Linked DNA regions of Canis lupus familiaris. The protein of the gene in region 3 interacts with the protein of the main gene of each other region in a biochemical or structural test. Links are inferred from orthologs where the notes say so. Each region holds a gene or a part of one and is shown on either strand. Other genes may lie near its edges.

Region 1 (4,105 bases), on a different chromosome or scaffold from region 3:
ACGCAGGAAATTTGGCGGCAACTCCATGACGGAGAGACAAGAGAAATGGACTAGTCAATTTAAAAAATGTGTTGAGACACAGGTATCGTGACAGAGAATGTTCCACTGATACTCTGGCTGAGGCCAGGCAGAGCCCCGGACGGCAGTCCTCATCACCGTAGGTAACTGCAGGACAGGCTGAGGACCTCCAGAAGGGGGGAAGTTACATACCTGCTGCTCACCGTGTGGTGGGGGGAAGGGAGGTCCTTAGCACCAGGACCGAAAGACAGAAGCGGGGACGGGGAGAATCTGGGTCGCTATGGACACACACAAACCCCCGCATCACAGTCGCAGGAGAGCTCTGTGTCAGGAGCCCTCCCCCAGTTCCCCCGCCTGGAGACAGGGCTCCGGGATGGACTCCGCCCTTGGCTTGCACAGGACTCTGGGTCACTTTCTTGCCCTGAGTCTGAGTTTCCTCAAGGGCAAAAGGAGAGGACTGAGTTATTTGATGTCCACTCTGGTTCTTCGGGACATCAGCGCGTTATCTGTAACCTCGGAGGTGCGGGTGAGGAACCCAACGCCTTCCTGGGGTCCCACGGCTGGCCGAGGCCAATGCCACCGACCGGCCAGGCCTCGGCCCATGGATGAGCACCATGGCCCCCGGTAGAGGAACGGCTCCAGCAGGAGGCAGCGGGGACCGAGCGTCCATCTAAAGCACAAGGCGCAGCAGGCCCTCCGCCCAGGCCCGGTGGGCACGTGAACCTACCTGTCCGCCGCACTGGCCTCTCGCAGTCCTGTCAATTTTTGCAACTTCTTCATCCGGATCCTGCAAAAACTAAGGGAGGGCGACCCCCAGCCCCCAAGGAAACACACCAGACGGCCCAAAGACAAAAAACACAGAGAGAGGAGAGAGAGAAAGGTGGTTAGGCTGCGGGCACCCCAATCAGTACAAGGAGGCAGGGCCCCCGGGGTGGGGGGGGGAGCCCCGCCAGGTAAGGCCCGGGAGGGGGTCTCCTCCCCCACCTGTCTCCTTTGTACTCACAACGGCCACATTTGCCTTCCTCTTCCTGGAGCGCACGGACACGTCGGTGCCAGCGTCGTCCTTCATGGGGTCCCGGTCCTGCGCATCCCTGCGGGCCGCCGGGTGGCACCGAGGTCAGGGCGGGCGCTGGCAGCCTGGGCTCCCCTCCCCCCGCCGCGCAGCCACGGGGCACTCACCTCTCCCTCCTCTCCCTCGGCATGGCTGGCGCGGCACGCGGGGCCGACCTCGGGCCCTGGGGGCACAAGCCGGGCGGGGGTCAGGGCGCGGGCGGGGGCGCGGGCGCGGGGGGGGGCAGGGCCGGCCGCGCGCCCCGGACACCCCTCCCCCCGCGCGGGCGGCGGCGGCGGCGGCGGGAGGCTCGGGCCGGCCGGGAAAATGGCCGATGGGCCCGGGGGGCCTGTCACCCGCCGCGCCGGGTCCGCCGCGCGCCCGGGGCCCCGCCGCCCCCCGCCCCGCCGCCCCCCGGCCCGGCCCGGAGCCACCCCGCGACCCCGCCGCGCCCTGGCCCGGCTCGCCCCCCCCCCACGGAGCCCCGGAGCACGGCCCGGCCATCACCGAGCCCTGTCCGCAGGCGGGCGGCGGGCGGCGGGAGGCGGCGCGGGAGGCGGGAGGCGGGAGCGGCGACGAGCGCGCGGCGGGGCGGGATCCGCGCTGCCCCCTACACCGCGCGGGCGCCGATCCGGCTGCTCCGCGCCCGGCCGAGAGCGGCGACATTAAAAATCCCTGCGCGCCGGAAACCGGCCCCCGGCCCGCCCTCGCACCCTCCCGCCCAGCCTCCGCCCCGCCCCGGTCGGTCCGAGGGCCCTCCAGCGGCCGCGCCCCAGTGCCCGGGCCCGGCCCCGAAGCCGCCTGCAGGCCGCCGACGCGCGCAGACGGGCAGAGGCGCTACGGACGGGGGGGCGGGGCCTGCGGGGGCGGGGCCTGCGGGGGCAGGGGCCTGCAGGGCGGGGCCAGCGGACTGGGCCTGCGCGCCGGAGGGCCGGGGCGGGGCCTGCGGGGCGGGGCGGGGCCTGCGGGGCGGGGCCAAGCCACGGGGCCTGCGCGGCGCGAGGTGCGGCGCGGCGCGGGACGCGGGAGGCCGGCTGGCGCGCGCGCGGCGGGGGGCGGGGCCGGGGCCGGGGCCGGGGCTCGGGGGGCGGCGGGGGCGGCGGGAGGCCGCGTGGCCGGCCCGCGGGGATGTAAACACGGCGCGCGGCAGGGTGCGGGCCGGGCCGCGGGGGCTGGCGGGGAGCGGGGAGCGGGGGTCCCGCCGGCCGTCGCCCCGCCGCGCGCGCTGCCCCTCCCGGCACGTCCTCCCCGCCCCCGAGACGCAGGGTTCCGGGCCGGGAGCCGGGGCGGGCCTGTGCCCAAGGTCACCGCGCCTGGTCGCGGGCCTACGACCTGGGCCGGCAGCCGCGGGTCCGGGGCGTCCGTGGGGCGCCGGCTGCCCTGCGCGCGCCCGCCCGCCCTTCCGAGCGCGCATTCGCCCTGCAGCCACTCGTTGAGCTGACCTCCCGGCGCCTCCCCCGTGGGCCCCTCCCGCCACCTCCGCGGCTGGGGCCTCGGGGCCCGGGCCGCCCCTCTGGCTGAAAGCCCTCCCGGTGGCTCCCGTCGGGCTCCCGGGCCGGGCTGCAGGGCTCCCCTGGAGCTCCGTCGCCCGCGGACCCCCGCCCCACCCGGTGCCCTCGCAGCCGCTGCCCCACGTCCTCCCCCACGTCCTCCCTCACCTCGGCGGGAGCTGCCCTGCGCTGCGCACTCGCCCTCGGGGCTGCTCTTCCCTCCCTAGAACTTCAGGGTCTCCGGTGAACACGGAGTCTGGAGCACCCCGCCCCCCGCACTTCCTCTCCACCTCCTGCCCCGCTGTGTGTCCTTCACCCAACTTGCCGCCAGAAGCCTCGTGCTCCTGGGTTTCCCTGGTCGCTCGCTGTCCCTCTCCCTCCCGGGAGTTCCGGGCTGCAGCCCCCAGCTCTTGGCAGAGTCCCGGGGTGCGGGTGCGGGTGGGGGTGCGGGTGGGGGAGGGAGACACTTGCTCATCTCTGTGGGTGAGTTGTTGAGAAGCATACAGCCGCCAAGTCCTTGTGGACCTTCCAGGACAACGAGACCATCACCTGAAAGTACCTTGTGAACTAAACTTGGCAGAAGCGGCAGGTCCCCATGTCGCAGGTCCCCATGTCGCAGAGGGCTCCCAAACACTCCCAAGACCCTTCCTGATGCACTGTTCCGCCCCCCCCCCCCCCCCCCCCCCCCAAGCATAAGGATCTTCTTGAAGTGAGAGCCTGGGTCTGATTGAAGAGTGTGCCCTGTGTCATCCCCGGAAGTCCCTGCTAGCAGATGTCGGCCTTCCAGGGGCCTGGAGCTGAAGGCTGCTGAGATGACTCACTCAGGTTATCTCAGGGAGACATGAATGCAGGCTCCTGAGCTCCTGGCCCGGTGTCCTTCAGTAATAACAATAAGAGGTACCACGAACAGCATTTCCAAAACGTCAGCTTTGGACTCAGTCCGTCAGAGTGTTCAACTTCATGATAATCCCATCATGTTGCTGCTACCATACTGCTATTTCAAAGAAGGCAACTATCTACTTCTTAGGGTGATTATGAGGATTGGGGTAACACAGCTTACAGGGCTTGGTGCACACTCAGTGCTTAGTAAATGAGAGATATAGGACAATGATAAATACAACATATGTTAGTATTACAGATATCAATATATATCATTGTTATCGATGATAGACACAGACTTTTCCTTAGTGATGGTAGCAACTTACTGTCCCACTAGCGAGAATGAGAGTTCCAGATGTTCTTTTTCCTAGCTGACGCGCTCATCAACAATATGGTCGACACAGAAATGTGGTATATTCATTCAGTGGAATACTGCACAGCAGTAAAAAGGACAGACCACTGGGGCATTCAGCAACATGAAGAAATCTCACAAAAAAAAAAAAAAAAAAAAGAAAGAAATCTCACAGACGTAACCGTGAGCACGAGAAGCCAGACACAGAAAAGTATTACTGTGTGATTCCATTTATTTGAAGTCTCAGAAAAGGCAGAACTATAGCGACAGTGTGAAACCAGCAGTTACTCCTGGGGTGGGGTTAATAACCGGGAG
Region 2 (4,030 bases), on a different chromosome or scaffold from region 3:
AGCCCACATTTGCAGGGCACTGGGCACTTGGGGGAGACCCCTGGCCCTCACCAGCACTTCATCCAGGAGTTCGTAGACAAGAGCCACGTTTCGGGAGATGGTCCCCTCACTCAAGGAGCCACAGTAGTCGCCCAGGAGAGTGGCCAACCTGAGAAAACAGGGCTGTGTGTGCATACCCTTCTACGGTCGTATCCCCGCGCCCAGGTGCCCAGCCCTGCCCTCCTCACCGGGAGAGCAGCTCTAGAAGGCTGAAGGGAGAAATGTTTTCTGAAGTCGTGGCTACCAAATAGAGGCCGCTGTGTCTGATGTGAATGAAATGACGGTCATCGTGGTGCTGAGGCGGAGGCGAGGAAGAGAGCGTTAGGAAGACATGTGATTAAGGACCCGCGAGACTTGCTAGCGGTGGGCCTTGGGGCGAGCCAGGCACCTCGCCCCCGCCCCGGGACCCAGCTGCCTAATGTGGAAGTGGAAGTGGCCCTGGTACCTACCCCGGACTGGCGGAGCTGCGCCCCGTAGAGTGTTAGCGCTCCAGAAACTGTCGCTCGGATTACTTGGCAGAACGTACCCCCCGCCCCGCCCGCGCCCCCCAGCGGCAGCTCTCAGGGAAACGGTCCTGGGAGGAAGGAGGCGCCCCCCAGCCCTCCGGGAGCCTACCCCAAGCCCCGCCGCAGGTTACCATGACAACCGGGGACTCATCTCCGGGCAGTCCCGTCAGCTTCCGGTAGAAGAGCTCGGCCACATCCCGACCGCCACTGTCCCCGCGGACTGACCGGGTGGAAGGACAGCTAAGGAGTCGGCGACACGGGCGGGCTCTAGGGCACTACTCCCACCCAGGCCTCCCGCCCCGCAGGTCAAGGATACAATCCTTGTAGATGAGCGGGTCCCCTTTGGAAGACAGAATGAAGAACTGGGAGATCATGGTGGTTGGAGAGTCCGCAAGGAGACAGCGAAACTTGGGCCTGCCCCGCCCTGCGGCCCCGGAACAAAAGGACGCGCGTAGGCTGGTCCTTTAAGAGCAATTTCTCTCGGTCCGAGCCAGCTCGGACCGCGGGAAACCCGGCGCCCGCCCCGCCCGCCCCGCCCCGCCCCGCCTCGCCTCTCCGCAGCTCGGGTGCCCGCGCCGCTGCCCCGTCACTCAGTCCAGACTCGCCTGGTGATTGGCCGAAGCTATGGCCTGCGGGAGAGTGGGAGGGGCGAAGGGCCTCCTCTTTGATAGGCCCGCACGCGGCGGCGCCCGTCACGTGGGGGGCGACGTTTCGCGCCAATTTCGGTTGGTCGGCAGGAGCCCGCCGCGCGGACGCTTTCTGCTGTCCTGGGAGTGAGCGCCTTGAGCCCGCCAGCTGCTGCCGCACGGGCGATGGCAGTTAAAGACTACGTGCTCGAGAAAGGTGAGGATATGCAAACTTGGGAGGAGCGGCCTGCGCGGGAAGCCTGCGGTCCAACACCTGTTGGCGTGAGCCGGCGTCCTGGGGCCCCGGGGCGCGCGGCCAGAGGCAGGGTCGAGAGGCTGCAGGGCAGAGGCAGACGGTGCGTGGGAGGCGCGCGGGCCGCGGAAGTCGAAGAGCCAGTCATGCCTGGGGAAGGAGTGGCGGGTCGCGGTGGGCGGGGGAGGGTCGCGCCCAGGAGAGACCGGGACCTCAGGAGACCCAAAGGGCTTTCCGCCCCCAAGGACAAGGACCCCGGGTCCCCCCTCCCTGCGCACCCTTAGACATTCGGAGCGCCCGCGCCCTCTCGAGACGCGCCGGAGTCCCGGGGGCGGGCGGGCCCCGGCCGCTGAGTGCCGGGATTGGCCATTTTAGGCCAACCTCTAAGCGGAAGTGAAGGCGGGCGGAAGTTGCGCGACGTCGCTGGAGGGAGTGTCGTCTGTAAACAGTGTCCTTCCGCGCCGCGGCCTCGGAAAGAGCTGCTCAGGGTGGGGGCGTGCCTGAAACTGGGGGGCTTCGCGGGAGGCCGAGAAAGGAGGTGGTCGGGTGGGACGGAGTGGCCCTTGACGAGCCGGCCAATCGCCGGACGGGCTCCCGCCCTGGGCGGAGGAATCCCGGGCTGTGAGGCGGCTGCATCTGGGCCCATGTGCTTCTTTGTTTACTAAGAGCGGAAGCAGTGGCGGGAGAGGGGGTGGGGTGCAGGCTGGGCCTAGTGGAGAGACTGAGGAGACCGAAGAAAAAGAGGAATCTCAACGCGTGGAAGAAAAACTGAGAACCTTGAGCTCAGAGCGTGTGGCGGGGTGTGAAAGGCCTTTGGGAACGAGTACTGAGATTTGTAACCAGGGGAGACACTGGGATTCCCTGGGGGAAGGTTGTTGGGTAAAGCTCCTGACTGCCCGGGGCCCCTTCTCTAGGTGAGAATAGACCTGTTAGAAGGAGTTCTGCTCTACTTGGTAAGAATTACGAAGTAAAAGCGAGTTTTTTAAAGAAGCGTATCAAGGGGTTTTGTGGTAAAGTATCTGAAAGACTCATTCTCATGATTTACGTTTTCCTTGCAGAAAAGGTTAAGAAATTCCTACAAGAGTTTTATCAGGATGATGAATTTGGCAAGAAGCAGTTCAAGTACGGGAACCAGTTGGTGAGTCATAGAAAAAGTGGAGGGAATGGGTGGTTGCTTAAGGAGCTGTAAGAGGTGGCCTGGCTTGCTTCAGTAAGTGTACATGTAGGTAACAGCTTCAGTGTGATTCTTAATATTTAGTAAGTGGAAGTCATTCTGTGTGGGTAATGAGCAGTGTGCTCTTTAGAAGTTAGAGGGCTGTCTTTGGGGGGCTGAGAAGTGAGTATTGCTTTGTCTCATGCTTCTTTCTACCCTTGTGGGTGGGGGACACTGCTGACCATGGTGTACACAGCTCTGTCTCGTCCTTACCCCAGGTTCAACTGGCTCATCGGGAACAAGTGGCAATGTACATAGACCTAGATGATGTAGCTGAGGATGACCCTGAGTTGGTGGACTCCATCTGTGAGAATGCCAGACGCTACACCAGGCTCTTTGCTGATGCTGTACAAGAGCTGCTGCCTCAGTACAAGGAGAGGGAGGTGAGTGGTTGCAGGACAACACAGGGCAACACAGGTTGCTTTCCAGAAGCTTCTCAGATGCTGGTTTTTCAGAGTTGGCAGAAAGGGGGCAGTAATTTCTGCCTGGTTCCCTTTGTGGTCTTTCGTTCTCTAGTCCTGCCACACGTTTTTTCTTCTATCTTTCTTTTCTCTTGAGGTGGTAAACAAAGATGTTCTGGATGTTTACATTGAACATCGGCTGATGATGGAACAGCGGAGCCGCGACCCTGGGGCAGCCCGAAGCCCGCAGAACCAGTACCCTCCCGAACTCATGCGCAGATTGTGAGTGGTCTCAGCGAGGAAGGCTGTGGAAGCTTGTGCAAGCTTGTGCTTCAGAACCTTTGTAATGACTCTTTTCTCTCCCTTAGTGAGCTCTACTTTCAAGGCCCAAGCAGTAACAAGCCTCGTGTGATCCGGGAAGTACGGGCTGACTCTGTGGGGAAATTGGTCACCGTACGTGGAATTGTCACTCGTGTCTCCGAAGTCAAACCCAGGATGGTGGTGGCCACTTACACTTGTGACCAGTGTGGAGCAGAGACCTACCAGCCGGTATGTAGGGAGCAAGGAATAGGAACATATTTAATTGTTAGTGGTTTGCCCCAGAATTACTTTTAACTCCTGGTAGTTATCTGTTGTTTGCTGTGTTCGTTATGAAACACAACTGTGTGTTTACTTATCATTGTTTTTCTGGTCCGTAGTGGTCTTTCCATCGTCCTTTATGGGTTTTTGGTTCCTATGCTTATTGACTCAGGACAGGTCAAAACGTTGGCAGTGTGCGATGTGTGCTATGGGGAAGAGGAAATGTTGACTCAGGTGACGGACTCATGGCTTTTTGCTTTTTCTTGCATTCTAGATCCAGTCTCCTACTTTCATGCCTCTGATCATGTGCCCCAGCCAGGAGTGCCAGACCAATCGCTCAGGAGGGCGGCTGTATCTGCAGACACGTGGTTCCAAATTCATCAAATTCCAAGAGATGAAGATGCAGGAACATG
Region 3 (3,500 bases):
ATTTAACTTACTGCTATATGTAGCCATTACAACCTCAAGAGCACATGCCAACAAAGACATATGAAAGATGTCGTCATTCAGGAGTTTGCTAAAGGAAAAGAAAAGAATGATTTTGAAACATTTACTTTTATAAAAAGAAGGAACTATTTTACTAAAACTAAAGAATTTACCTAAAATTTTGAATGGATAATCGTTCTTCTTCCTAAAACAGATAAAAAAAAAAAGTTTACCTGATGCCTTTTTTGTGTCAGCATTAAATTTTTTTTCTATTATGTTCTTTTTAACTTACTGATTTAAGCATGGATTCCATTACTCGATAATACAATCGGACTCCAAGTTTGTATCGCTACAAAAGAAAAAAATTAGATTCCACTAATTTAGAAAACCATAATTATTAATTTTTAAGAAGGCTTCTCCTGAAATACATTTCTGATACTTCTTAGGAATATGAACACTAAGAGATCACAAAAGCTACCTTGTCTAAAACTCAAGACTTCCATGTAATATGGTGGTTAACATTCCCAATAAATTATCAAGAAGGAAAGTCCAGTTCTTGGTTTTCCTTAATTTCACTTCGGTCTACATCATTCAGCAGAGACACACACATACACACGCGCACACACACACACACACACACACAGAGGATATGCTATACATCTGGTACTATTTTACCCATTTTACATACTAATGTAATACTTTGTGGCCTAGGACATGTATTTTCAGGATAACTCTCCCAAGACTGAGAATAGCCTGTCCATAAAACTGGCAAAGGCAAAAATCAGACCCAACTGATCTTATCAGCAAAAAGTTTTAATCAAATAAATAATTCTCATTAGTTCAAAGAATAACTAAATTTTAGATACATACAAACCATATTCCTTCATTCAAATCATAAGCATAAATTTCATATACAACCAAAAAAGACTTAAAAATATTTAAAACATATTATCAAAATCAAAATATAACTTCACTACACTGAAATAAAGTATCTAGATTAGTTTTCCAACACGTTTTTATATGTTACCTAATTCTACACAACAAAGCAGAGCAAATTTAGAAATTGAATCTCAGAGAAGTTAAATGAAGCTCATAAATGGTAGAACCAGATATAAACCCAAGGTTCTGATTCAGAGCCCATACTTTTATCCAATATATTAGTATTAGACTTTGTGAAATAAGAACAGTAATAATAAAACTAATTTCATTCAATAGTATCCCTGAAATAGCATGCATATGATCCCATTCATGTAAGTATATGCATCATAAATATTCATATATGTAGAAGCCAAAGAATATATACCAAAAATTTAATAGCATCAAAGATTTTAATTTTTTTGTACTGATATTTTTTAAATTTCTACATTTTTTTCTAAAACTGCCTACATGTTTACTTTTGGTTTCTGTAATGGTGTAAGGGGCATTTTTTGTAAAATAAAGTTTTCCATAAACAGCAGCATACACAGGCAGCCAAGATACAGAATCTACCAATATAGGACAAATACTATTATAATATTTTTTTACAATTTGGAAAGATATTTCATTCTAAATTATTTATCAAATAGTGACAGTAAAAAAAAAAAAAAAAAAAATAGTGACAGTAATCAAACTGAACTCAAGTTACCTGTGATCCAATTTCCATACATCCCTGTCCCACAGCTTTAGCAAATTTCTCTTTAAAGATGTATCCAACATCCTTCACTCTTTTCAGGATACTTTCCTTTGGATTCACTGTGCAGTTCTTTAAAGAGGAAAAACATAAATCAATGTTGAGGATACCGTTTAATCAGAATTAACATTTTCTGTCCTATAAGATATAACTTTACGCTTTCAATTATACTGTGGAAACACCTCCACAAAAACTAGGTAAAAACAACTACTGAAAATAAGAGGAACATAAAGAATTCCATTTTAGGATGTTAGTGACTAAAAAATATTAAAGTACAAAAAAATCCCTTTTATCTAAATTTTCTGCTGCTAACTTAAAGAACAGATTTGTTAGCCCTTCCACCCACCAAAAAGAGCCTCATAGACATTACAAACTGATACCATGGAAATACAAAGGATTGTAAGTGACTACTATGAACAGCTATACACCAACAAACTGGAAAACCTAAAAAAAAAAGGATAAATTCTTAGGAGCATACTATCTACCAAATCTGAACCATGAAGAAATGGAAAAAATGAATGGATTGATGACTAGTAAGGAGACTGAGTGAATACTCAAAAATATCCCAAAAAACAAAAGTCAAGATCCAGACAGCTTCACTGATGAATTTACTAAACATTTAAAAAAATTAATACCAAAACTCAAACTCCTCCAAAAAATAGAAGAGGAGGGAGCACACTTCAACATAATAAAGGCTAAATATGATAAGCCCACAGCTAACATTGTACTCAACAGTGAAAAGCTGACAGGTTTTCCTTTAAAATCAGAAACAAGACAAAGATGCCCACTCTCCCCACTTTTATTCAACATAGTATTAAAAGTCCTAGCCAAAGCAATTTGGCAAGAAAACTAAGAGGCATCCGAATTGGAAAGGAAGAAGTAAAACTACGTCTACTAACTTATCACATGATATTATACATAGAAAACCCTAAAGACTCCATCAAAAAAACTGTTAGAATAAACAAATTCAGTAAAGTTGCAGGATACAAAATCAATATACAGAAATCAGGTGAGTTTCTATCCATAAATAATGAATTAACAGAAAGAGAAAATAAGAAAGCAATCCCATTTATAATCGCATCTAAAAGAATAAAATACCTAGGAATAAATTTAAGCAAGGAGGTGAAAAACCTATACATGGAAACCTATAAGACATTGATGAAAGAAACTGAAGAAGACAGAAATAAATGCAAAGATATCCCATGCTCATGGATTGGAAGGATTAATATTGTTAAAATGTCCATACTACCCAAAGCAATCTACAGATTCAATGCAATCCCTATCAAAATTCTAATGGCTTTTACACAGAAATAAAACAAACAATCCAAAAATTTGTATGCAACAAAAGATTCCCAATAGCCAAAGCAATCTTGAGAAAGGACAAAGCTGGAGGCATCATACGGCCTGATTTCAAACTATATTACAAAGCTACAGTAATGAAACAGTATGGTACTGGCACAAAACAGACACAAAGATTGGTGGAACAGAACAGAGAACCCAAAAATAAACTCATGTATATAGTCAATAAATTTGTGACAAAAAAGGCAAGAACATACAATGGGGAAAGGACAGTCTTTTCAGTAGACAGCCCTGGATAAAGTAGATAGCCACATGAAAAAGAATAAAACTTGACCACGATCTTACACAATACACAAAACATGACCCAAAGTGGATTAAAGACACTGAAACCATAAAACTCCTAGAAAAAAACAAAAGAGATAAGCTCCTTGACATCAGTCTTAAAGATCTGATATTCTGAATCTGACACCAAAAGTAAAAGCAACAAAAGCAAAAATAAACAATTGGGACTACATCAAAATAAAGAAGATTTCTG
Region 4 (4,139 bases), on a different chromosome or scaffold from region 3:
CTCGGGCTCCCGACGCCGTCCCCGCCCGCCTGGGCGGGTGAGCAGCCGGAGAGAAGCGGCCTAGCCTGCCCCCCGCCCCCGAGCCACCCACCCCGGCCGGAGGCGCCGCCACCGCCCAGCCACCCCGACGCACACGGAGGAGCCCGCCGCAGAGGCGCGACCACGGCGGGAACCGCCGCCTCCTCCCCCGAGCTTGCGGCCCAGCCCCGCCGGCGCCCCCGCCCCGGCCTCCGGGGAGCTGAGCCAAGGAGAGGGCGGGAGGACGGCGGCCGGGAGGCGGGGGCGCAGCGCTCACCGGCCCCGCCGCCCCCTCCGGCGGCCGGCGAGAACTGCGCCTGCCGGCTCGGAGAAGCGCGGGCTCCTGTGCCCGCGGCCGGGGCTCGGCTCGGGCCTCGCTTCCTGCCCTCCCCTCCCCCGGCTCTCGGCGTCCTCTCCAATGCCCTGATCCTCTTTCGTCCAGTCCCCTGCCTGGAGGGCGGCCCGGGTCTCCCCCGGCGTCTACGGCACCCGCGGTTCGCTCCCCGCCGCCCGGCCCCGACCCCGGCGCGCGTCCTCAGCCGCCTCGGTTACCCGGCGCAGCGCGGCCTCCGGGCTTCCCGCTCCGGCGGCTCCCTCCCCGGCTCTGAGCGGCGGCGCCCTCCCCCGCTCGGCCGGGCACAGCCGCAGCTCCCTCCCGCGGCGGCAGCGGCTCCTCCTCCGGGCGCGGCGGCGGCGGCGCTGGGGCGGCGGCTGCTGCTGTGGCGGCGGCGGCGGCTGTGGCTGCTGCTGCCTGCTGCTCCTCGCGGCGAAAAGCACAAAGCACAGCGCCCTCCGCCTGCAGGCAGCCCGCCCGCCGCCCGCCCGCCGGCCCCGGCCTCAGCTCGCACACCCCCCGCCGCCGCCGCAGCCTCCGCCGCCGGAGCGGGGAGGAGGAGGGAGAAGGGAGGAGGAGGAGCGGGAGGGGGGGCGGGAGAAGCGGGGCAGCGAGCGCGTCCTTCCCCGTAGAGCGCACACCGACCCCCGGGGAGCGAGCGCCAGCCCGCCCGCCTCGCCGGCTCCGCTCCCTCCCACAGCCTGCCCGGGCGGGCTCCGCGGGGGGCAGCTGGGAGGAGGGGCGGGAGCTGGGGGGACCCGGGCGGCCGAGGCGGAGGGAAGGAAGGAGGGGAGGGGGGTGGTGGTAGTGGTGGTGGTGGTGGTGGTGGCGGCGGTGGCGGCGGCGGCGGCGGCGGCGGCGGCTGCTGCTGCTGCCGGGGAGGGGGGGCCGGGGCAGGGAGACACGCAGCCGCCCGGATGGCGGCGGGGCTCGGAGCCGAGGCGGGCGGGCGGGCGCCGAGAGCGACCTCGCCAGACCCGCGGGGGAACTAGCAGGCTCGGCCGGCGCGGGAGGGAGGGCGCGAGGCGCGGCCGCCAGAGACGGTGCCCGGAGGGCCCCCCGGCGGCCGGGGAGGCTGAGGGGGTGCCCGCAGCCCTGCTTCGGAGCTCTCCCCCAAGTCCTCCCAGCTAAGATTCGGGTTTCCACGGCAGTCCTCACCCGCTCCCTTCTCCCGCCTCCTGGAGCGGGCGCTCCGCGCCCACCCTCATCCCCGGAGCGTGGCCACCGGCTTGGGGCGCACGCACGCCCATCCCGGCGCCAGGCTTCGGCGCCTACCTCGCGGTCCCCTTGCTTCCGAACAGCACACACACGAAACTTAAAAAAAAAAAAAAAAAAAAAAAAACCGTACAAAATGCCCTGCCTGCAAATTAAAAAAAAAAAAAAAAGAAGTCCCCTTTGCTCCTTTACACCCCGGAAACGGCGAGGGGGCGATGGGGTCCGGCGGAGGAGCTGCTCTGGGAGCCGGTTCAATCCAGCCCGGCATGGCTCCCCAGGCCTGCCCGGGCGCATGGAGATCGGCGCCGCCGCCACTCGCAGCAACCCCTCTCCCCCGAAATCCGCGGAGCCCGGGCTCACTTACCGAGCGTGTGAATGGGAGCGCGGGCCAGGGGCGCCTAGGGGTGCGGCGGGCCGAAGAGCGGAGCCGCAGCTCCGCCGCAGCCGACGCCGGGGCAGCGAGTCGCCAGACAAAGCCCGAGATGGCGAAGCGGAGCGACGGCTAATGGCGAGCCCCACGCGCCGCGCTCCGCCCGCCCCGCTCCGCCCGCCCGCCCGCCCGCCTCGGCGCAGCGCAGCGCCGCTCCGAGCGCTCGCCCGTCAGAGCCGCCTCGGCGCCGCCGCCTCCCGGGCCACCCCGGCCTCGCCTGGCCCCTCCGCCTCCTCCGGGCCACTCAGCCTCACCCCCTTCCCTCCCACCGCGATGGGGGCTGCACGAAAATAAAAAAAGAAAAAGAAAAAAATGCTTTTCTTTCTTTTTTTTGGTGGGGGGGCAGGGCGGGCGTGTTGAGACTTTTGGGGTTTTTTTTTGCCCCCAGCTCGCACTCACCTGCGGAGCCGCCGGGAGGGCTGGGGGTGGGGGCGCGCGGGGCTGGAGCCGGCGAGCGCGGGTTGAAAGCTAGCCAAGCTCTGCAGCGCCCGACCCGGGCGTATACGCCGCCGCCAGTCCCCGCAGAGAAATCGTCCTCCTACCCCCGCCTCCATCGCTCTGCGTTTCTCTTCCAATCAGCCGGTCGCTTGGCGGCTCCTCCATTCTCCGGCCAAGCCCGCTGCCTAGAGCGAGCTCCACTCCTCCATCTGCTAGCCCGGTTCCTGGCTCCCCTGCCGGGGCCGGCGAAGCGACGTAGGGCCGGAGGGGGATTTGCGAGGGAACCTGCCTGCTTCCCGCTCCCATTGCTCCCTCCCCGCTGCCTCCTGCCTCCTGCTTCTCTCCTGCGTCTTTCCAACTCTCCCCTGTCGCCACTGGTGTGTGTCTGAGTGTGTGCGCGGCTTTTTTTTTTTTTTTTTTTTTTTTTTATTGCTCTTTGCTTTTGCAACCCTGAAGCCAAAGCGAGGGGGTGGGGGATAAAGGAGGGGGGGGGGTTACAAAAAAAAAAAAGTAAGAAGCTCTTAGATTTGCAACACATTGAAAAACCGGGGGAGCACCCCGCCTCGCCGGATCTCGGCTCCCCGCGAGGGCCTTCCGGGTTTTAGAGCGAGCCTCTCGTTGTTCTCAACGCCCCTCACCTCCTCCGGGTTTAGGATCCGAGGTGTCCGATCAAAAAGTTCTCCCCTTGGGCCGTAGCAAGGGGTGTCAGGGTGGGAATTAGGGGGATTTCTCAAGAAGCAGTAGCCTCCCCCCACCCCCCACCCCGGTTTCGGTAGTTGGGCCGGGGTTGGGGCGGAGAGCGTGATCCCGGTGGGTCTGCGCCAGGAGCTTCCGGGGCGAAGCGGGAGCCAGGAGACCGCGCTTCGCGCATCTCCCCCTCGGTCTCTGCCTCCAGTCCCCTGCCAGCTCCCCCTTTAATTTTTTTTTTTTTTTTCCTCTCCTTTAATCTAATTTCTTCCAACTCCACCTTTGTTGTTACCGGCGTCACGCCCGGACCAGCCAATCCCCGCCATGCAATCAGCTTGTCAAAAAGGCTCGGCCAGCCCTGGGAAAGCAGGCCGCGGGCGCTGGGCCCCCTCCTTCCCCCAGCGGCGGCGGGGAGCCGCGAGGGGAGCCTGGCACCCGGGCCCCGCCGCCCGAGCCGCCGCGGGGCAGCCTTCGCCCGGGCCTGCGGCACTCCGCCGTCCTGCGGCTCCGGGGGCGAGAGGCCGGGGCGGGGACCGCCATCCGCCCTCCCGGGGCTGCCGGCTGCGGTCGTCGGTCTCTGCCTCCCCTCTTCCGAGGCAGCAGGGTTGTCAGGACGCAGGGAGCCGGAAGACGAAGAGCGCCCGCTTCCCACAGGCGAGCCTGCGGTCTGGGCCGCCGCTGCCCGCGCAGCGCCATCGCGCCGGGCTCCGGGGCTCCCGGGCTGCCCGCCTCCCGCACCGACTCTGCGGACTGCCCGCACCGCGGCCAGCCGGGGCGCCGGCCCCTCCGGACTCTCCGCTGGCACACAGCCTTCTCCATCCTCACTCAGCGGCCTCCCTGCCGCTGTAATTCCTCTTGTCTCCTGGGAGAAATGAGATTCCTTTCCCAGGACTTCCACAGCCCACATCTGCCACGTCTTACAAACAGGGAGGAAAACCTTGTCAAGATCTGGTGTGACCGGATTTTTGAGTGGGCAGGGCACGTAGGAGAGGCCGGTTGACCTTGTTGCTAATGAAG
Region 5 (4,268 bases), on a different chromosome or scaffold from region 3:
CCGCTGTGCCACCCAGGTGTCCCAGTTTCTGAACTTTTTTTTTTTTTTTTTTTTAAAGATTTTATTTATTTATTCATGATAGTCACAGAGAGAGAGAGAGAGAGGCAGAGACACAGGCAGAGGGAGAAGCAGGCTCCATGCACCGGGAGCCCGATGTGGGACTCGATCCCGGGTCTCCAGGATCGCGCCCTGGGCCAAAGGCAGGCGCCAAACCGCTGCGCCACCCAGGGATCCCAGTTTCTGAACTTTTTAAGGAGCAAGTCCTGTTCTTGCAATAAAGGCTTTCTGAAAAACAATTAAACTCTGTATCTTGCTTCATGTATCTGCCTTCCAGCCTTAAATCTTGGCATGCCATTAAATAGTTACATGACCAAAAAACCCCAAACAAAAAACAAAACACAACAAAACCCAAAAAACAACAAAACCGACCTCAAAAAACACTAGGCCTGGGATCCAGTCCTGCATCGCGCTCCCTGTGGGGAGCCTGCTTCTCCCTCTGTCTCTCTGCCTCTCTCTCTGTGTCTCTCATGAATAAATAAAATAAAATAAAATAAATAAATAAAAATGAATAAATAAAGATTTTTAAAAAATCTTTAAAAAAAAAAAAAAGAAAGAAAGAAAGAAAAAAGAAAAACACTAGCCCAAACTACTTGCTAAAAATTGGGATGGATATAAGATATAAATGAACCTTTGAGTACTGCTCTCCCATTAGAAATAGACATTTTTGGGGATCCCTGGGTGGCTCAGTGGTTTATGCCTGCCTTCAGCCCAGGGCATGATTCTGGGGACCCAGGATCGAGTCCCACATCGGGCCTTCCTGCATGCAGCCTGCTTCTCCCTCTGCCTATGTCTGTCTGTCTGTCTCTCTCTGTCTCTCATAAAAAAAAAAAAAAAAGACATAAAGCTTTATTAGTATGAACCACAGTACAAGATAAAAGACTAGAAAAGAAGTTTTCATACTACTAGAAAATGAATGCAAATGGACTGTAGTGGGACACCCGTGGTAATCTCTCTAGCGCTACAAAGAGAATCCAAGTCCTTATCTTGGAGAAGATTCTCCTTACCCTAAAGTCGACATGCAGCTTGTGATCACGGCAGATGGGGCAGGGATTCCCAGCAACTTTATCTCTACGCTGTGGAGAGAAGAAACTAGAAGGTGAAAGATGTTCAAAGTCCTATGAGAAAAAGTGCTGGTGCCACTGTCACTATGGCCTCCACTCTCCTCCACATCCCATCCACGTACCACCTTCAGAAACTCACAATACATGTCTTTCGAGTCCGCTGTGGGGGTATTCCACCTTTGTGGTTTCTACGGTAGTCAGCCCAGACAGGGCGAGTACTGTAACGATTCTGGTATTCTGAAATGAAAGACCACACATTATTCCTGGTAGGGATAGCAGAAGTGTCTCTGTTTATTTCAGACCCCCTTGATTCTCCCCTTTCCATTTTAGAGGTACCTTCTGAGTCCAGATATTTCCACGGTTCATTCTTATAAGGACTTATGGGAACTGGGGGCAAAGAATCTTCCTCAGGGGGGCCTTTGGTGCAAAGAGTCTGGAGGGGAACCTATAAAGAAGGCAAAAAAAAAAAAAATGAGCAAATGAGTTCAAGGAAAGGACTGGATAGTTTCACTGCCCATATGTTAGGGAGAAGAGGAATACATGCTCATTGTATTAACAGAATATAGAGGCAATATATATACAAAGTAGAATTTTTGTTAGGGTAGAAGTAACATCAACAACCACTCTTCTGTCTTCTGGATCCTGAAGGAGAACCTAACGTGAGAAGGTAACTAGGATAGATGACTGGGAAGCAGTCATGCCCGGTGGGGAGAGGCTCATTGGTGAGTCTCCAACTCAACCCAATCCTGAATCACTGAATTGCCCCTTTACAGAAGTTGAAGGTCAACATTCCACAGGCCAGAACAAACTTGAGTCCTAACGCTAGCTTTAAAGCCACCAGGCCTGTCATTAATTCCGTGGTGACCCCTGTCACCATTCTTCAGTCCCACTTTAGGAAGTGCCAACTTTGCAAGTTTTCCTATCTCACCTGGCCCCACCAAGAACCTTCAGTGTGGTGAGTACTTGAGGCTGCGGGAAAACCTCAACCTAAAGGACTAAGTAAAGGCCTCATGTATACTCCGAGAAGAGGGAAAAGAAAAACAAAAACTAAAACAGAACCCCCCCCTCCCAAAGTAATTGAGTGAGAGAAAGAGAGCTAAGAAAGTAGGCCCCAGGTCGTGAGAACGTATCCTGGCTTTATCCGCGGATCGCTCCGCAGGAAGAAGCTAGTGTTTCTCAAAAAGGGCACTCCAGGGAATGACAAGTTTAGACATCACATGCACGCTTAGGAGCTGACTGTACGACCAAGAGGCCCAATCCTTCACCTGGTGCTTTAGCCGAGTTGGTACGCTGGAAAAGGATGGTATCTAACCAGGCTCTTTTCCCTCGTCTGGCGATTAAAAATTCGCACAGTATTGAGAGCAAGGGGAAGGGGAAGGGTGGTGGGAGCACTGCTGCCTAGACAGCCAAGGCATAATAGCACTTGGGAAAGATTCCGCTCCTGGATTCCCAGCAAAGGAGCGATGCCCTAGACAAGGTATAACTAAGATGCGGTTGTACAAGATGTGCTCCAAGGAGTTACCTGAACTCCGTAGGCACTTCTGAAGGGCGAAAGGCCAGGAAGGGGCCTCAGCCACGAACGCAATGCGGAGGCCGCCATCTTGACGCACGCCCAATCCCGGAAAGGCGACTGCGCATGCTCCAAGACACTGACTAGGATAGGGGCGAGGGCGAGCCCGCAGTGCGGGAGGCGGCCGCGCACTTGCGTCAGGACGGAAGCGTAAAAGGGGGGCCGTGTGGAGAAGTCAATTTCTACTGCGTCACAATCGAATTTGGCCTCAAAATTGCGTTTTTCCTGAGCCAGTCAGTACGACTTCTAGATCTTATACTTACTGCTTGCGTTTTAAGCAATTTTGAGGGAGATTTCGAGGGACATCTTCTCACTGCGCATGCGCCGGCCCGGTTCTACCAACCAGGGTGAGAACTGTTCTCGAGGACGGAAGTGGTGGAAACAGAGGAAAGGGAGGTGCTAGGCTCCCCGGTCACGCGCTTGTCGGGGGGGCCAGGAAGGAGGCGGAAGAAAGTACCGAGGGGGAAGGGGCTGAGCGAAGGTGAAGGAAGGCTACCCAATCAGCTAGCGAGTTGTCTTTCGGGTTGGCCAATGAATTCACGCCTCGCGCACAATGTCTCGCGACAAGGGCGTTTCACTAGCATGTTTGGGCGCGTTGGGCGGCGTCCGGGTATAAAAGACACCGCCCGAGCAGACAGGCGCCATTCTGGGGTTCGTTTAGAGGTAAGTTTGGGTATCCTGTCGGTTGGAGGGTAAAGTATTGTTGAGCTTGTTGGACTGGGGAGGGGGTTAGGCATGGGTTGTTTTGAGGACCATGGCTTATGGAACGCGGCTGTGTTCTCGTTGGGACCTGGAGGTGTTTGACGACAACAATCATGGTACTTGTGCGTGTTTAAAGCAACCCGTGTTGATTGTATCTTTCTCCCTTGTGTTCCTTTTATCCCAGGTTTGAATTTTCTCGGAGAAAGACAGGCCGGTCACGAGGAAAAAAGAAACAAGCCGCAGCACCATCTAAGCCCTTGAGAGGATCCTGAGGGGGGAAAGGGAAAACAGCAGCCACCAGCCCAACCACTTGTGTCTTCTGCCCCTTCCCACCTGTCTTGCCCACCCCACCAGCCCACGCTGCATGGGACTTGAAATCTGTGGCCGAAGGACCGTCACCACATAACTTCAAAAATAATCAACCACCCACCCTTCCCAAACCCACCCAAATCCACTCATCCAGCGTTTACTTTTTTGAATCCACCCAGAACTTTTTTTCTACGACCCCCCCTCCCTAAATGGAGTTGGGTGGGGGGAAAATGAATACTGAGTTGGCCTTCAATTTTTTACGAGACTTTTTGATCCAATGAGGCCCCCCAAATAATTGAGTTTTGGGTCCTGGTTGGTTGTTTTGTTTTTTTTCTCCAAAATTTTAACCCCCTCCCCCCCTGAGCCCGAGGTGCTGACGTCGCAAAAAAATTGGATAGTAAGTGTCGAATTTTCCAAAACCAGCCTTGCAACAAGAACTCAACGTTTCCCGTTGTGAAACCAAAAATAATGAGAGGAAGAAATGAGCCAATAGAACAAAATAGAGAACTGGAGAAGGACCAAGCCGGTCACTTAATCTCCATTAAAAAGGGGCCTTTGGTCTAAAC
Region 6 (4,030 bases), on a different chromosome or scaffold from region 3:
TAAATTTTTTATGGTCTTTCCACCTGGAGAACACACAATTCCCATTTAAAAACACACTCTCGGGATCCCTGGGTGGCGCAGTGGTTTGGCGCCTGCCTTTGGCCCAGGGCGCGATCCTGGAGACCCGGGATCGAATCCCACATCAGGCTCCCGGTGCATGGAGCCTGCTTCTCCCTCTGCCTGTGTCTCTGCCTCTCTCTCTCTCTCTCTCTCTGTGACTATCATAAATAAATTTAAAAAAAAAAAAATTTTTTTTAAATAAATAAAAAATAAAAAAAATAAAAACACTCTCAGGCAGCCCAAGTGGCTCAGCGGTTTATACTGCCTTCAGGCCAGGGTGTGATCCTGGAAACCTGGGATCGAGTCACGTCAGACTTCCTGCATGGAACCTGCCTCTCTCTCTGTCTCATGAATAAATAAAGTCTTTAAAAAAAAAAAAAAAAAAAGAAAGAAAGAAAAAGAAAAGAATGAGAGGTGCTCGGGTGGCTCAGTTGCTTAAGCATCCAATTATTGGTCTCAAATCAAGTCCTGATCTCAGAGTTGTGAGTTCAAGCCCTACACAGCACTCTACAACTGGGTATGGAATCTACTTAAAAAAAAAAAAAAAAAAAAAAAAGAATAAATAAATAAATGAATAAATAAATGAAAGGAAATTATTGGATTCAAGCTTATTTATTTATTTATTTATTTATTTATTTTTGGATTCAAGCTTATTTAAATGAAGTCCTCCTATGAGTAAATTCCTGTTCACTAATGAGTAATTCAGTAATTTCAAATGATCTTTTTTTTTTTTTCAAATGATCTTTATAGAAGTTCTTGTCTAGGACAGACAAGTTAACTTTTAAAAGTATCACTATGAAAAAATTTTTAAAAAGTATCACTATGATGTTTTACAATTAAGAGAGGAGGAGTAAATCTTTGTGGGGGGGGGGAAGCACAACAATCATATTGGTGAATCCTTCAAGGTTTTTTGTTTTTTTTTTTTTAAAGATTTTGTCTATCTATTCATTTAAGAGAGAGCACTTGAGAGTTCACAAGCAGGGGGAGGGGAAGAGGGAGAGGCAGACCCCCTGCTGAACAGGGAGCCTGATGCAGGGATAATCCCAGGACCCCAGGATCATGACCCAAGGTGAAGCAAGGCGCTTAAAACTGATTGAGCCACTCAGGTATCCCAAAGTCCTTTAGGTTTTATAAAAAACAAACCTGAATGATCAGGTAGCTTCCCAAAAGCCACAAGGATCTATATATACACCCAAATCTTTAAAATGCTCCTTTCCTGGACACCTAGGTGGCTCAGTGATTGAGCATCTGCCTTTGGTTCAGGGCATGATCCTGGGATCTGGAATCGAGTCCTACATCAGGCTCCCTGTGTGGGCGGAGCCTGCTTCTCTGCCTGTGTCTCTGCCTCGCTCTAAGAAATAAATAAAATCTTTTTTAAAAAATGCTCTTTTCCCTCCAAAACCCCCCTCCCACTTTTTTTTTTTTTTTTTTTAAGATTTCATTTATTCGTGAGAGACAGAGAAAGAGAGGCAAAGACACTGGCAGAGGGAGAAGCAGGCTCCCTGCACGGAGCCTGATGTGGGACTCCATCCCGTGTCTACAGGATCTCACCCTGAGCCGAAGGCAGATGCTCAACCGCTGAAACACCCAGGTGTTCCTCCCTCTAAACCCCTTGAACAATACTCTCCAAACACTTTTAGTGTGACCTTAGACTATCTGAAACATCCTCTCTCTGATCTTGCCACATATTCTTCATCTATCACTCCGAAGCAGGATAACTTCTGCTTGCCCTGCTGTACAGCCCTATCTGAATTCCTCCTAATCCAAATGTTTCCCTTTCCTGCTCAATTACCTTAAGTAGCATAAACACCACCTAATTTCTTAAAGATTCGATGTTCAATCATATTCGATGCAAATCTAAGCCTTAGCTTTCTACTCCCACACAATAATACCACCCAGGAATCTCTTCACTAGTGGAAGAACTGTCCTTTCTACTAATTTATTAAGAAGCCTACTGTCTCAGATTTGCTCTTCTAAACCATGGACTTTTCACCTTCTTATCTAGGCTCTAAGTTATCCTCCTCCCCCACACTGAAACGCTGCTGCCACAATTATTTTTGACACTTGCTACCAAAGTAACCCGGAGCTTTCAAACATTTGTTCAACTTCTAACCTTGACATCTGTTCGAGAATTTACAAGTTACAAAAGTATCTACTTCTGATGTTCTTCTCAACCCATAACGTGGGGATGCCAAATACTGTTACCCTGGCTTTAATAGTAAGGTACCGAGGTCTGGGAGGTGTGGTCGCCTTCCCTCAAGGTCACACAGAGAGTCCTCGAAGGTAAGGGGCTCTTCCCATCCTGAAGGTCCCCGTGAGCACGCCCCTTCCCCCACCCTGTAGCCCCTACCCCCCACCGGGTCCGCCCTCTGGGGCTCCGAAAGGGCAAGGATAACCCTCACACTTTCCCTGAGGTGCTTCTACGGGTCCTCTTCTGAGAGACAAGGTTCAGGACACCCTCTCAGGGTCACTAACACCGCCCCCACCCGGCCCCTATCCAAGCCGGGAAAGAGAGGTCTGGCCTAAGGACCAGAGCCCCTGCCTCTGGGTCTGGGCGGCGGAAAGGCTGGCCCGGTGCTCACCACTGCGCCCCTCGTTGGAGCGTGGTCCTCATCAAGGCCCCGAGCTCGGATTTCTGGGTCTCCGCATCAGGCCGCTCACGGTACCCTCCACCTTCCGCCATCTCGTCAGCCGCCCCGGCCCAGCCGGCCCGGACATCCGCCTCGCGCACGGCGTGCTGTGGGCCACGCCCACGCACGCACGCACGCACGCATGCGCGCGCGTACCCAAGCCCCACCTAGCGCCGCGGCCTCGAATGTCCGCTCGCCTGTTTCTGCCTTTTCTCCCTATCACGTGCGGCCCTTCCCCACCCGTGCGGGGCGGAGCCGGGAGGGGGCCGGAGGAGGAGGTGGGTACTGGCAAACGTGCGGGCCCTTTCTGCCGCCCTGGGGGCCGCGAGGTGGGCTGACTTGCATCCCTTCGTCGAGCCCGGCGATCTCTAGGCACCTGACCGTAGTCCCCTTGACCCCTCAGGCACCCCGTCCAGGCCCACGGTGTTAGCCTGCTTTCTAGATCAACCCAGGGCCAGTTGCGAGAAGCCCTGGAACTAGCTTTTCTTGCTTTGAGCTGGAGATCTTAGGCCAGTCCTTAGCCTTCCAAACGGGGGATCCGGGTGCCGGTCCTGGAAGCCCTGCAGGGATATTGGAGAGTGCAGGTATACCTGCGCCTTGGGACCGGGACTCGACGGTCTAATCTAGTCATTAACACTCCTTTCAAACAGTCTAGACGCAAGAATCATGGCCCACGACCGAATAACCCAAGCCCTCCACACAGCTAGCTGCTTGCCTTGTCAGGGAAACAAGCAGCCGCTGAGTGGCGATAGCAGCGAGGTTAGAAGGAGAGATCTGGGTGTGTTCTCCACATTAGGTGCCCAAGTTGCTGCTTAATTTGTTGCTACAGGGACGCCTGGGTGGTCCAGTGGTTTGGCACCTGCCTTTGGCCCAGGGCGTGATCCTGGAGTCTGAGGATCGAGTCCCTCAACGGGCTCCCTGCATGGAGCCTGCTTCTCCCTCTGCCTGTGTCTCTGCTTCTCTGTCTCTCATGAATAAATAATTAAAATCTTTAAAAGTAATGATAATAATAATTTGTTGCTGCAACAAGATTCAGTATCCTGAACACTATGTGTCTTCCACTCAGCCCTGCATACAAAAAGCACAGCTCGCCTCATGGAGTGGGAAGTAAGCCCAGAGCAGGGAGACCGGGCAGCTGGCCTTGATGAGTCACCATTCATTTTCTAGCAGTTCCTGCCCCAAAAAATGTCACAGTGCCTGATTTCAAACTAATGGAGAAGAGATCTTCCGTAAATAACCCCAGCATCAAGCACTGTATGGTATAGGTAAGTGCCATGAAAGGGTATGAACCAAAGACTGTAGACCCCTAGAGTTGTGAAAGGGCAAGTTTGACTTGGTAG
Region 7 (3,500 bases), on a different chromosome or scaffold from region 3:
GTAACCCTAAGGAAGGCAAGGGTGCCCAGGCGGAAATCGCTCCATCCCACAGAGGCACCCTCCCAAGAGGGGCATGCTGCTCCGTCCCGGAGCAGGGAGGAGGTGGGAGGGTGGGAGGCGGGGAGACATACACACACACACACCTTTCTTTAGCAGATCTTGCATCTTGGCACAAGAACAGTCATTATAGATGACCACATCAAAACCCAGGTTTCTGAAGCACTTGAAAAGAGCCTCGGCATCTTTGTCCGTTCCATTTCGGACGCCCATCCCTGTGGGAAGGAAGCGCAGGATGAGCCATCCCTGGTTGAGACCTGCCTGCCAGCAGCATCTGGTCAAGGCACTAAGTGTAGCCTTACGGGCTCTGGTGTAAATGCTCCCCCGAGGTCACTGTGTGCATGAGCAACTGAAATAAGAAGCAAACTCAAAGGAGAAGGTCATCCAGCCTGCCCACAGAAGGTGAGCCTCGTCACAGCAACCCTCTACTCCCAGCAAGGCCAAACAGCTCCCCTTGATTCTTAGCCCTTTGTTCACATCCCCCATCACCTCATGCACCAGGTGGGACCTTAGACTTGAAGCTCCCGATGTCCCTCATGCCTTCTTCCCGGGCCATGAACAGCATCAGGCAGGGTGTTGCCTGCCACAGCAGGTGGGCACAACCCTTCTCTAAGTGAAGTCTGATACAAGCTGAAGGCAACGGGAAAGGTTAGCCCTGGCCCACAACATTTACCTGTTGTTTTGTCGAAGTTCTTGTTGTTTATGATGATGCATTTGCCCACCTTCTCAAAATTCATGTTATACTGGTATGTAGGCACTTGGTCCTGGGCAGTCTTGATTGATCTCCCGGAGTCATTTTTCTTCTTCCTACTTGGAAAATATAAAGCGAGTCAGGGGCCGTGGAGGATGTCTGGACACAAATGGCCTCTGGATTCCACTGCTAGCATGGCAGGGGTGCCCAGGAAAGCTGTACCACCTGTGAGGAAAGGCCCCAGGTGGGCAGATGGCTCCATTTAATTGGTCATATTTGAAATGAACAGGATCTCCTGCCTTGTTTTACTGGATGCCAGAGAGAGTGTGATCCTGGGGCATACTGGCTGGGATGGCTACAACGTGTTTGTAACACTTGGAGCTGTTTATAGCACCTGGAGCTATGTCATTCCTTGCTGGTGGGAACCTACTTTTTACCTCCATTGTTGAAAACTCGCAGAATCTACCCAAACTGAATTTAAACACAGCCCGTGGCACAGCAGTTTAGGGTGCAGGGATGCACTGCTGGGCGCATGCATAGATCGGGTGCATCCCTGCATCCTAAAGTTGATCAAACACAAAAAGGGAAACTGATCTACACATGTGCCCAGCAGTGCTGTTCAGCAAGGGCCCCAAGCAGCAAATAATTCAAATGTCATTTACAGTGTCATGGATAAACTGCTGAATATGCATATGATGAAATAGCATATAACAGTAATAGTGACCAAACCACGACAATACGAAGCCCCATCAATGAATCTCATGACTATCATATTGGATAAAAGAATTCATAGTCAGAACACTGACACCTCATATGAGAAGTGGTTACTTTAAAAGGGGGAAGAATGGAAGAGCAATTTAAAAAAGAAAGTCATCCCCTTCCAATCTCCAGACGCTGGCCATCCAGCTTACCAGAAGCCTGGCATGGAGGCTGGAACACGCAACATCATTGAGCAGACACAGAAAAAAATGTCAGAATGTGAGCTGAAAGCAGCTGTGCTGGTCATCCAGGGGAATGTAAACTCCATGAGAGAAAAGATTTTTCTCTCTGTTCTGAAAAATTGCTGACTCCCCAATCCCTAGAACAATGCTTGGCACATAAGTTGCTCAATAAATATTTTTTATAAACTACAGACCAATATTCCTTATGAATAATAGATGTAAAATTTAAAAAAAAATTTGAGAGAGAGAGAGTGAGCATGTGAGTGGGGAGGGGCAGAGGGAGAAGGAGAGAATCTTAAGCAGGTTCCATGATCAGCATGGAGCTGGACACAGGGCTTGATCTCACCACCCTGAGATCAGGACCTGAGCCAAAATCAAGAGTTGGATGCCCAACCGACTGAGCCATCCAGCTGTTCCTGGATATAAACATTAAGAAAACATTAGCAAGCCTAATCTGGCAATCTCCGAGTAGGATTATTCACCATCACCAAGTGTGACCAATCCCAGTAATTCAAGGTTAGTTTAACATCCAAAAATCAATTAATGTAATCCATCATATTACTAGACAAAGATAAAGGACAAAAACCACCTAAACAGCTCCACCGATGCAGAAAAAACTGACAAAATCCAATACTCTATTATGATAAAAATGCTAAGTAAACTAGCATTACAATGGGACTAACGCAACCTGAAAAGGGTAACTATGAAAAACTCACAGATATCATACTTAGTGAGGAGGCATTGAATGCTTTCCCTCTAAGGTCAAAAACAAGTCAAATATGTCTACTCTTGCCACTTCTGTTAAATACCGTACAAGAGGTTCCAGTCAGGGGAATTAGAGGTAAAAAGAGGTGTTCTATGAATGAATGCATCAAGTGCATTGCCTCATTTTACAGTTATGGAAACAGGTCCACAGGGGGGCAGGGGTTGTTCAAGGTCGGCCAGGTAGTGATGAGCAAAGACCACCACATTGGCCCCAGGTGATATCAGCATCTCACGTCAGTGCTCCAGAGCCCCACACCTAGAGCATTTGTCAGAAGACTAGTCCAGCATGATGCCAAAATTTTGGTCAAACATTGGGAGGAGAAGGTGAAAATAAAAACTCAGCTTGTTACCTGACAAATGTGGGCATTTCATTCTGAGTTTCACTGAATCTCACCTGTAGTAGTTTCTCAAAATCTCTGGAAGGACATGGCCTTTGCTGTTACCCCTCCTACCTGGGTCTAGATTACAAAGTGACTCTGTGTGTCCAATCTCCAGATTGCTTATTGCTTTTCTTCAACTGTAACCCCACTCTATCCTCCACTTTTACAAGACCAACATCCTTCTGTAATATCACCGGATTTTTAAAAGAGAAATAGCCTCAATTTGTTCCACTTTCTCTGGACTCTTCCTCCCTACATTTTCTTTCCCCAGGAAGGCAGCACAAACAAGCACTGGACTGGGACTCAGATATCTGCCCATGAGACCCTTCACAGAGCACTGACCTCCTTGGAGGTCCTAGAAAACAGAGCCTTCTGTGACCGTCACAGAAGAATATGGCCAATTTCATGGGCAGTAATACTCTTGTAGAGTCTTTTCCCTCTCCTGGGCCTCCATAAAAGCTCAGAGGGGACAAATATTGGTAAAGTGAGCTTCTGTAGCATTCAAGGATATGCCATGTGGGGGTTGGGGGGGTGACTAGGATTTACTTCTGAATTCCCTGTCAATAACCCATACTGACAGTGTCCTCTGTGCATGTGGAAAATTATCTGCAGGTACTCTTTTTTTTTTTTTTTAAAGATTTTATTTATTTATTCATGAGAGAGAGA

The links.
Region 1: of the proteins of RB1 (region 3) and CCNE1, one has a biochemical effect on the other in vitro, tested with the Homo sapiens proteins (9 studies listed by BioGRID). The link is inferred for Canis lupus familiaris from reciprocal best matches to the Homo sapiens genes RB1 and CCNE1.
Region 2: the proteins of RB1 (region 3) and MCM7 form a complex in vitro, tested with the Homo sapiens proteins (2 studies listed by BioGRID). The link is inferred for Canis lupus familiaris from reciprocal best matches to the Homo sapiens genes RB1 and MCM7.
Region 4: the proteins of RB1 (region 3) and UBTF form a complex in vitro, tested with the Homo sapiens proteins (2 studies listed by BioGRID). The link is inferred for Canis lupus familiaris from reciprocal best matches to the Homo sapiens genes RB1 and UBTF.
Region 5: the proteins of RB1 (region 3) and MRPS18B form a complex in vitro, tested with the Homo sapiens proteins (2 studies listed by BioGRID and IntAct). The link is inferred for Canis lupus familiaris from reciprocal best matches to the Homo sapiens genes RB1 and MRPS18B.
Region 6: the proteins of RB1 (region 3) and USP4 form a complex in vitro, tested with the Homo sapiens proteins (2 studies listed by BioGRID). The link is inferred for Canis lupus familiaris from reciprocal best matches to the Homo sapiens genes RB1 and USP4.
Region 7: of the proteins of RB1 (region 3) and CASP7, one has a biochemical effect on the other in vitro, tested with the Homo sapiens proteins (2 studies listed by BioGRID). The link is inferred for Canis lupus familiaris from reciprocal best matches to the Homo sapiens genes RB1 and CASP7.

The regions. Positions count from the first base shown.
Region 1 is NC_049222.1:122,576,746-122,580,850, forward strand, and holds the start of CCNE1 (G1/S-specific cyclin-E1), read right to left. Parts: upstream 2,801-4,105; 5' UTR 2,728-2,800; intron 1,594-2,727; exon of another isoform or gene 1,577-1,593; intron 1,254-1,576; 5' UTR 1,221-1,253; coding exon 1,198-1,220; intron 1,110-1,197; coding exon 1,022-1,109; intron 815-1,021; coding exon 746-814; intron 1-745. UniProt on the Homo sapiens protein: Essential for the control of the cell cycle at the G1/S (start) transition.
Region 2 is NC_049227.1:9,437,535-9,441,564, forward strand, and holds the start of MCM7 (DNA replication licensing factor MCM7), read left to right. Parts: upstream 1-1,230; 5' UTR 1,231-1,357; coding exon 1,358-1,388; intron 1,389-1,832; exon of another isoform or gene 1,833-1,912; intron 1,913-2,200; exon of another isoform or gene 2,201-2,224; intron 2,225-2,234; exon of another isoform or gene 2,235-2,377; intron 2,378-2,482; coding exon 2,483-2,562; intron 2,563-2,855; coding exon 2,856-3,020; intron 3,021-3,195; coding exon 3,196-3,320; intron 3,321-3,406; coding exon 3,407-3,587; intron 3,588-3,891; coding exon 3,892-4,029; intron 4,030-4,030. Other genes in the region: AP4M1 (AP-4 complex subunit mu-1), read right to left, coding at 52-148, 228-334, 677-765, 862-919. UniProt on the Homo sapiens protein: Acts as a component of the MCM2-7 complex (MCM complex) which is the replicative helicase essential for 'once per cell cycle' DNA replication initiation and elongation in eukaryotic cells.
Region 3 is NC_049243.1:3,108,227-3,111,726, forward strand, and holds part of RB1 (retinoblastoma-associated protein), read right to left. Parts: intron 1,739-3,500; coding exon 1,622-1,738; intron 347-1,621; coding exon 290-346; intron 203-289; coding exon 171-202; intron 89-170; coding exon 12-88; intron 1-11. UniProt on the Homo sapiens protein: Tumor suppressor that is a key regulator of the G1/S transition of the cell cycle. The hypophosphorylated form binds transcription regulators of the E2F family, preventing transcription of E2F-responsive genes.
Region 4 is NC_049230.1:19,050,645-19,054,783, reverse strand, and holds the start of UBTF (nucleolar transcription factor 1), read right to left. Parts: upstream 2,801-4,139; 5' UTR 2,397-2,800; intron 2,090-2,396; exon of another isoform or gene 1,932-2,089; intron 703-1,931; exon of another isoform or gene 571-702; intron 217-570; exon of another isoform or gene 92-216; intron 1-91. UniProt on the Homo sapiens protein: Recognizes the ribosomal RNA gene promoter and activates transcription mediated by RNA polymerase I (Pol I) through cooperative interactions with the transcription factor SL1/TIF-IB complex.
Region 5 is NC_049233.1:573,446-577,713, reverse strand, and holds the start of MRPS18B (28S ribosomal protein S18b, mitochondrial), read right to left. Parts: upstream 2,801-4,268; 5' UTR 2,722-2,800; coding exon 2,644-2,721; intron 1,567-2,643; coding exon 1,458-1,566; intron 1,359-1,457; coding exon 1,261-1,358; intron 1,134-1,260; coding exon 1,065-1,133; intron 1-1,064.
Region 6 is NC_049241.1:40,305,720-40,309,749, reverse strand, and holds the start of USP4 (ubiquitin carboxyl-terminal hydrolase 4), read right to left. Parts: upstream 2,801-4,030; 5' UTR 2,744-2,800; coding exon 2,643-2,743; intron 1-2,642.
Region 7 is NC_049249.1:24,916,752-24,920,251, reverse strand, and holds part of CASP7 (caspase-7), read right to left. Parts: intron 868-3,500; coding exon 731-867; intron 273-730; coding exon 144-272; intron 1-143. UniProt on the Homo sapiens protein: Thiol protease involved in different programmed cell death processes, such as apoptosis, pyroptosis or granzyme-mediated programmed cell death, by proteolytically cleaving target proteins.